2 linked regions of the Xenopus tropicalis genome follow. The protein of the gene in region 2 interacts with the protein of the main gene of each other region in a pairwise test. Links are inferred from orthologs where the notes say so. Each region holds a gene or a part of one and is shown on either strand. Other genes may lie near its edges.

Region 1 (4,070 bases), on a different chromosome or scaffold from region 2:
TTATGCGTAACAGATCTTGCCAGACTAATTTAGTCGCCTTTTATGAGGAGGTGAGCAGGAACCTCGATGCGGGAATGGCAGTTAATGTCATCTACTTGGACTTTGCTAAAGCGTTTGATACAGTACCTCACAGAAGGTTAATGATCAAATTGAGGAATATTGGCCTAGAACATAATATTTGTAATTGGATAGAGAACTGGCTGAAGGACAGATTACAAAGAGTGGTGGTAAACGGAACATTTTCTAATTAGACAAGTGTGGTTAGTGGAGTACCGCAGGGGTCAGTCCTTGGTCCTTTGCTTTTTAACTTGTTTATTAATGACCTGGAGGTGGGCATAGACAGTACTGTTTCTATTTTTGCTGATGACACAAAATTGTGCAAAACTATAAGTTCCATGCAGGATGCTGCCGCTTTGCAGAGCGATTTGAAAAAATTGTAAAACTGGGCAGCAAACTGGAAAATGAGGTTCAATGTTGATAAGTGCAAAGTTATGCACTTTGGTAGAAGTAATATAAACACGAACTATCTACTGAATGGTAGTGTGTTGGGGGTTTCCTTAATGGAGAAGGATCTAGGGGTTTTTGTAGATAACAAATTGTCTAATTCCAGGCAGTGCCATTTTGTGGCTACTAAAGCAAATAAAGTGCTGTCTTGTATAAAAAAGGGCATTGACTCAAGGGATGAGAACATAATTTTGCCCCTTTATAGGTCCCTGGTAAGGGAGTATGCAGTGCAGTTTTGGGCTCCAGTCCTTAAGAAGGATATTAATGAGCTGGAGAGAGTGCAGAGACGTGCAACTAAACTGGTTAAGGGGATGGAAGATTTAAACTATGAGGTTAGACTGTCGAGGTTGGGATTGTTTTCTCTGGAAAAGTGGCGCTTGTGAGGGGACATGATTACTCTGTACAAGTACATTAGAGGGGATTATAGGCAGATGGGGGATGTTCTTATTTCCCATAAAAACAATCAACGCACCAGAGGTCACTCCTTTAGATTAGAGGAACGGAGCTTCCATTTGAAGCAGCGTAGGTGGTTTTTCACGGTGAAGGCAGTGAGGTTGTGGAATGCCCTTCCTAGAGATGTGGTAATGGCAGATTCCGTTAATGCCTTTAAGAGGGGCCTGGATGAGTTCTTGAACAATCAGAATATCCAAGGCTATTGCGATACTAATATCTACAGTTAGTATTAGTGGTTGTATATATAGTTTATGTATGTGAGTGTATAGATTGGTAGGTGTTGGTTGGGTGTGCTGGGCTTACTTGGATGGGTTGAACTTGATGGACTCTAGTCTTTTTTCAACCCTATGTAACTATATAGGAGTTCATGCAAATAGTCCTCTAGCTAGCATTTCTCTGAATCACAGGTGTTTAGAGGAGCTCCAGCCATGAGGCAGAACCCTGCATGTTACAATGGGTGGCAAAAGGCTGCTCCTGGTTACTTACAAGCTGAAGTTCAGATTTTTAAATTGGAATTTTGTCTGTTCTACTGCACAAAGCTATAAAGTTAATCAGGATGGGGTGAGGGGGGGTTGGCACCGCTCCAGCTGCCTCAGGGTGGCAGTGGTGGCTAAAATGCTCCTGCAGGTGTTGGCCAGAAGCTAAACATTGTGCACTGAAATAACTACCAGGGGAAAGGCAGTGAGACAATGACTGTATGTGGGGCCTGTTGATGTCTACTTCTGTTACTGACAAACTGTATGGCCAGCATAGAGATCTTTCCCACACTGTAAAAAAAATATTTTTCACCACACACTATACAAAATGGGTCAAAACTTTCCACAAGCTGTGCAGTATAGTGTCTGATCTCAACCACACTGTACAATACAGCATTGTCCAGACTGTACAATAAAAGACCTTATCACCATCACACTATACTATATAGTGCTCCTAAAATACTGCACTGTAAAGAGCAACAAGTGATACAATACAATAGTCTGGCCTGCAAACATGTGGTAGGAAGAAGTTAGACAGCACTACAATAATAAAATGATTCCCTCCCACATTGGACAGTATTGGGATATATAGTCAAATTTACCCCATGGAGAGTAACTGCATCGGTATAGGGTTTACAGTGATGTAACAGGCCTGGAAGAGCACAGAAAAGAAGTTATATGGTGTGAAGAGGCCAATCCTACTAATTACTAAGTACAGGGATCTGGGTGGTTTGCAATTAGTATTTTGCGTTATATTTTGTAAGGAGTTATGAGTTGAGAAGTCTGGAAAATATGGCACCAGAGCCCTTTGTCATGTAGATAAGACACTTAACCCCACATTATATAGTAAATAATGTTCCCCTATTGTAAAATATACTACTGTGGCACACATAATGTTGAGTTCTCTTGGGGTTTACTTGCATACTACAGGTATTGATCAGTGTTTCAGGCTGCATAATGGGTGCTGCAAGGGATTACATTTATAATTTCCTGAGTCCCTGTCCAGTTGAATCCCTACATCTGTTGAACTACCCCACACTAGCTACATGTCTATTTTTCCTCTCCTATGAGTATGCAATTACAAGGTCCTGTTCCCCCAGGAACACCAGGGGCCTGCACACAGAATCTTGCATGCACGACAGAGTGTGTACTTCAGATGACCCGTAACCAGGTGAAAACAGGCAAAAGATATGTTCACAGCAACCCCAAAAAACATACCTCAAATCAAAATAAACCCCAAAATAAAGCGATAAATAAATTATAAAATTTGTATTGGGATGGTAACACAAATCGTATCCGGTAAAATGTGGAGGCTCAGGTGTATAGACCCCGAGCCTATCTCCAAAGTATACGATCCCAAGCAGTTAAAGAGAATCAAAAAAGGTGAAGCGAAATTTAAATAACTTACCAAAGTCCAGAAGTGGTCCGGGCGCTCAAGGCCCCGAACCCGTAGCCGAAGGGGAAAATCATAAGTAGTTGAAGGAACTCCAACACACCGGACAGCGGAGTTTGCTAAAAAAAAAACGGTCTTTATTGTTTAATTTAAAAGCAAGGTGCCCAGCAACCCCATTCTGATTTACCTACAATTAGTAAAACATTTGTCTCCTCGATATCGCTCGCAATCTCTCGCTTTCTGTATGAAAGTACAAGAGCATAGTTGAGCAATTCAAATGTGTGGCAATGTATACTAATAAATATTCTATATTCTGAAATAGTGAGAAAAACCACAATATCATATGATTCAATTAGTACATCTGTATAGACCCTAGTTTTATCTTTCATTTAGTATTACTCTTGGCAATAAATATATTTACCCTATAGTTCAATCTGTACTGAAAGGAGAATATTATTTTCTCACAAGAATCTATTGATTTATCTATAATCTATTGATTACCTTTAATAGTGAAATAAAGCATTGAATTGTATTTTTTTGGGAACTGCATCCACTACACTTTGGTTGAATTGCTTGTGACTCAGAGACACAGTTAAGTGTAAGCAAGACACAGATGATTCAGGTTTTTGCCTGCAGAGGCGGATTTGTCACATAGCTTTGTATGACACACACATACAAACAAAATCTATTCCATCCCACATATCCCACCTTCTCCACGCCCCCTCATGCTCTGCCATCAGTTGTGTCTAAAAATGAGGAAAGCAGATACTGTTTTAAAGGGAGATATATAGTGATATATAGTGTGAAATATATATATATATATATATATATATATATATACCTTCTGTAGAAATGTTTATCCAGGCTTATATACCTTCTGTAGAAAGAAAGTTCCCAGACTGTATAAATTTACTAGGCTTCAGATTATATTGCATACAGAGCATTATATTTGTTAACAAGTTGTACATTTTCCCTTGTAAAACATCACAGCTGCACTTACAATTATCAGAGAATGCATGAAAATGTAGTTACACAACAGCTGGGGGACTATGCCATTTCCCTGAAGGTTTAGTTAGGGGTAAAGTACATTATGCAGAGTATTACAAGTGCACAATTACTGCAATGTTATTTTGTTGTAATCACTTTGTGGAATAAGTTATAACACTATAATTATACAGTAAAACCAAAAATAATATAGGGCTCATTTACTAAGCAAGTCCAGATGGGGCGATTGCAACATTTCT
Region 2 (4,089 bases):
CCTGTACTAAGCACAATTCAGCATGAACAGCCCCCTAAGTTTGCTCATAGCCTGTACAGAGAGATACCATAAAACTATGGCACATAGGGATTCCCCTGTACTAAGCACAATTCAGCACCTTGCTATTTCCCTTGCATGTCAGTTTGACAGGATGATGGGAGTTGTAGTTCAATAACAAGGGGAATTAATATGGTTCCTATAGATGATAAAATAGAAGGTGTGCTTAGATTCTCAATACAGGACTCAGGATATAAATTTATTTTATTATATGAGTTCATCCAAGTTTAGAACTTGGAGTGGAACCTTGCACCTGGTATGTAAAGGGGAAGTAAACCACAAAATATTTTATTTTGTGCACAGAAATCGAAGGCCTGCGGTAGCTTCACAGGTGAAAAACACCAGCAGTCAAAATGCCCTGGTCCACTAGTCACCACAGCTAATGCTACTCAAACACAAGCAGTATATTTCCCCCTAGCAATCAGGAAGCGGTGTGAATGACAGATTTGAAGATAACCTGTAAAATAAGACTTTAAACTAGTTAGGGGTTGCTAGGGTCACTGACCAAGCAACCAGGCAATTGTCTGAATAAAAGACTGGCATCCTGGGCTCCTCAGTGGCCATAGCTTCATAGGACAGAACCAGAACAGAAAAGCAAAGTGACTAAGGAAAACAATATTCCCCACCTGATTACCTCTTTTGGTTCATGGAGGGCTCCTGGGTCCAGCACCCGTTGCTCGGGTTGTACGAGTGCACGGCACTGATCTCTTGCCCATTGTCCCTCCTACCTCCAGCCACAAACAGGTAGTTATGGAGTGTGGTAGCCCCATAGCCTTGCACCCTCAGCATACTCTGTGGGACCTCTCCGGTCATGACTTGCCAACCGCCTCCCCCTTCCAGGTACCTTAGTAGCACCCAGTTGTCAGGGCCCTGTTGGGACAGGACCATAAGGGCTGGGGTTCCTCTCAGCCTCTCTTCCAGGACACGAGTTCTGAGGGACCTTGGGCTCTGCTGGAAGTCTTCCCTCCTCAACATAGAAAGGTAATGAGCAGCCATGAAATGTAGAGCTGCCGAAGCCAAATCCCACTGGCCATGCAACTGCGCCACCTCCAGGATATCCAGACACGTGTCCAGGGACATGGAGGACTGCAGGAGAGACAGAAGACCTTGGACCTGTAGGTAGGATGCGGCTTCCACCACAGCCTGTAAAGGGCCCGATGACTCCAGGCCGCATGTTGATTCATCCTCCAGTGAGCAACGTTCTGGATCTTCCAAGGAAACAACCTGGAAACCAAACTCGGAACCCCCCTGAGCTTCTAGAAGGGAACCCCCAGTGATGTGGCGGAGAACCCCTTCCAGGCCCTCAGGGGTCAGCCCATGCAGAGTCACTGGTTCCCCATGACTTTCCCTCATGCCCGACCGGAACAGTGACTGGAAGAAACCACTCTGAGCCACCAGCTGTTCCCTAGGTACAGAGTAACACCTAGAACCCAACAGTATCTGAACTGTTTCTACAGAGGACATCACTTATACATGCATGATGCCTTCAAGAACCCAGAAATGGAACCAGAAAAGGGATCTACCAACATAAAAACATCACACTATTTGTGCACCGCATAGCTACAAGAACCTTGGGCACCTAATCAGGGCATCAAACTCTCATATCTGCAAGAACCTTGGGCACCTAATCAGGGCATCAAACACCCATACCTACAAGAACCTTGGGCACCTAATCAGGGCATCAAACCCTCATATCTACAAGAACCTTGGGCACCTAATCAGGGCATCAAGCACCCATATCTACAAGATCCTTGGGCACCTAATCAGGGCATCAAACTCTCATATCTACAAGAACCTTGGGCACCTAATCAGGGCATCAAGCACCCATATCTACAAGATCCTTGGGCACCTAATCAGGGCATCAAACCCTTGTTTCTACAAGAACCTTGGGCACCTAATCAGGGCATCAAACACCCATACCTACAAGATCCTTGGGCACCTAATCAGGGCATCAAACACCCATACCTACAAGAACCTTGGGCACCTAATCAGGGCATCAAACCCTTGTTTCTACAAGAACCTTGGGCACCTAATCAGGGCATCAAACTCTCATATCTACAAGAACCTTGGGCACCTAATCAGGGCATCAAACACCCATACCTACAAGAACCTTGGGCACCTAATCAGGGCATCAAACACCCATACCTACAAGAACCTTGGGCACCCAATCAGGGCATCAAACACCCATACCTACAAGAACCTTGGGCACCCAATCAGGGCATCAAACACCCATACCTACAAGAACTTTGGGCACCTAATCAGGGCATCAAACACCCATACCTACAAGAACCTTGGGCACCAAGCACCCACTCTGGGCATAAGAATATCAGGCAGAGAACCAATAAAGGAAATGCCCAATGTTCCTTACACCCCCCACCCATGACAATTAAGGAATCTCTTGGAAAAATACTCCAAAAATAACAGCCCAGAAGCAACACCCTCCAATCAGGAACAGTTGCCCAACTAGAGAATGGACCTGGATTCCCCACCCATCAGCCGGTCCCGTTTCAGCTCAGCAAACTGAGTAACAAGAAAGTCCAGAAAGAGAGAGAATCCCATCTGTGCAGCTTGTCCATTCAGCTCATTGTGCCAGCAGCTCTAGCCCCATTGGCTGCCCCCACTTGCCCCCCTTGCCCAGTCTTTCCGTTTACCCAACATGGAGAGAACGCCCCAATACAAACTGACCATCCAGGCATTTCACTTCCTGAATGTGCAGAAGCTTGTAAAAAACCCAGTCCCCTCCACCTGCGTGCCAGGGACCACGCCCACTTATACGCAAACACGTACTTGACACGCCTCCTGCCCCTCTTATAACCACAAGCCGCGCAAAGACACGCCCCCATTGCCAGACGCACCTCCTCATGGAAGCGTCTGCTTCATAGACAGGCCCCTCCCCTTCCCATATTGTGTTTTCCCCCCCATGCCCCATAAACACTGGCCTTATATGTGCAGCTGGGATTCTCTATGGGAGGGCTATATCCCTGCCAGACGCCATCCCCATGGGAACAGGCAACCCTAGCAGATATTACATAGTAGTTGGAGTTCAGCCTTTATCGCCCAACTGAGAGACTTTAGCTGTAAAAGCCGTAAAGAGATACTGACACCAGAAATTAAACCCTTTATTGCAACTGTCATGACACTGTTTGTACATTTATTTATTTGCCCATAGAAGTGTTTGCCCAATGCATTTATATTACCTATCTGGTCTCCATGTCCCTCTATGAGGCGGCGGCGGCCATATTTGTGCAGCCATTATTGGTTAGCATTAGGAGCTATAACTGACCGGCTGGGAGGGGACACTCAGGTTTAGGAACGTCAAATAGAAATGACTTACATTAACAGCCCTCCCTACCTGGGAGGATGTTGAGGAGAATGCTGGGAAGGAAGCTGGAGGATGCTGGGGGGGAACTGGAGGATGCTGGGGGGAGCTGGAGGATGCTGGGGGGGAACTGGAGGATGCTGGGGGGAGCTGGAGGATGCTGGGAGGGAACTGGAGGATGCTGGGGGGAGCTGGAGGATGCTGGGGGGGAGCTGGAGGATGCTGGGGGGAGCTGCAGGATGCTGGGGGGGGAACTGGAGGATGCTGGGGGGAGCTGCAGGATGCTGGGGAGTGGAGCTGGAGGATGCTGGGGGGGAACTGGAGAATGCTGGGGGGGAGCTGGAGGATGCTGGGGGGGAGCTGGAGGATGCTGGGGGGGAGCTGGAGGATGCTGGGGGGGGAGCTGCAGGATGCTGGGGAGTGGAGCTGGAGGATGCTGGGGGGAGCTGAAGGATGCTGGGGGGGAGCTGGAGGATGCTGGGGGGAGCTGCAGGATGCTGGGGAGTGGAGCTGGAGGATGCTGGGGGGAGCTGGAGGATGCTGGGGGGAGCTGGAGGATGCTGAGGGGAGCTGCAGGATGCTGGGGAGTGGAGCTGGAGGATGCTGGGGGGGAGCTGGAGGATGCTGGGGGGAGCTGCAGGATGCTGGGGAGTGGAGCTGGAGGATGCTGGGTGGGATGCAGAGGGGAACTGGAGGATGCTGGGGGGAGCTGG

Evidence for each region.
Region 1: the proteins of klhl42 (region 2) and sertad1 interact in binary tests that used the Homo sapiens proteins (3 or more experiments, as listed by UniProt). The two-hybrid records come from large-scale screens. The link is inferred for Xenopus tropicalis from reciprocal best matches to the Homo sapiens genes KLHL42 and SERTAD1.

What each region holds. Positions count from the first base shown.
Region 1 is NC_030684.2:78,228,615-78,232,684, reverse strand, and holds the start of sertad1 (SERTA domain-containing protein 1), read right to left. Parts: upstream 2,864-4,070; 5' UTR 2,842-2,863; intron 1-2,841. UniProt on the Homo sapiens protein: Acts at E2F-responsive promoters as coregulator to integrate signals provided by PHD- and/or bromodomain-containing transcription factors. Stimulates E2F1/TFDP1 transcriptional activity.
Region 2 is NC_030679.2:10,512,345-10,516,433, reverse strand, and holds the start of klhl42 (kelch-like protein 42), read right to left. Parts: upstream 2,824-4,089; 5' UTR 2,338-2,823; exon of another isoform or gene 2,312-2,337; intron 2,293-2,311; 5' UTR 2,042-2,292; exon of another isoform or gene 1,862-2,041; 5' UTR 1,522-1,861; coding exon 692-1,521; intron 1-691. UniProt on the Homo sapiens protein: Substrate-specific adapter of a BCR (BTB-CUL3-RBX1) E3 ubiquitin-protein ligase complex required for mitotic progression and cytokinesis. The BCR(KLHL42) E3 ubiquitin ligase complex mediates the ubiquitination and subsequent degradation of KATNA1.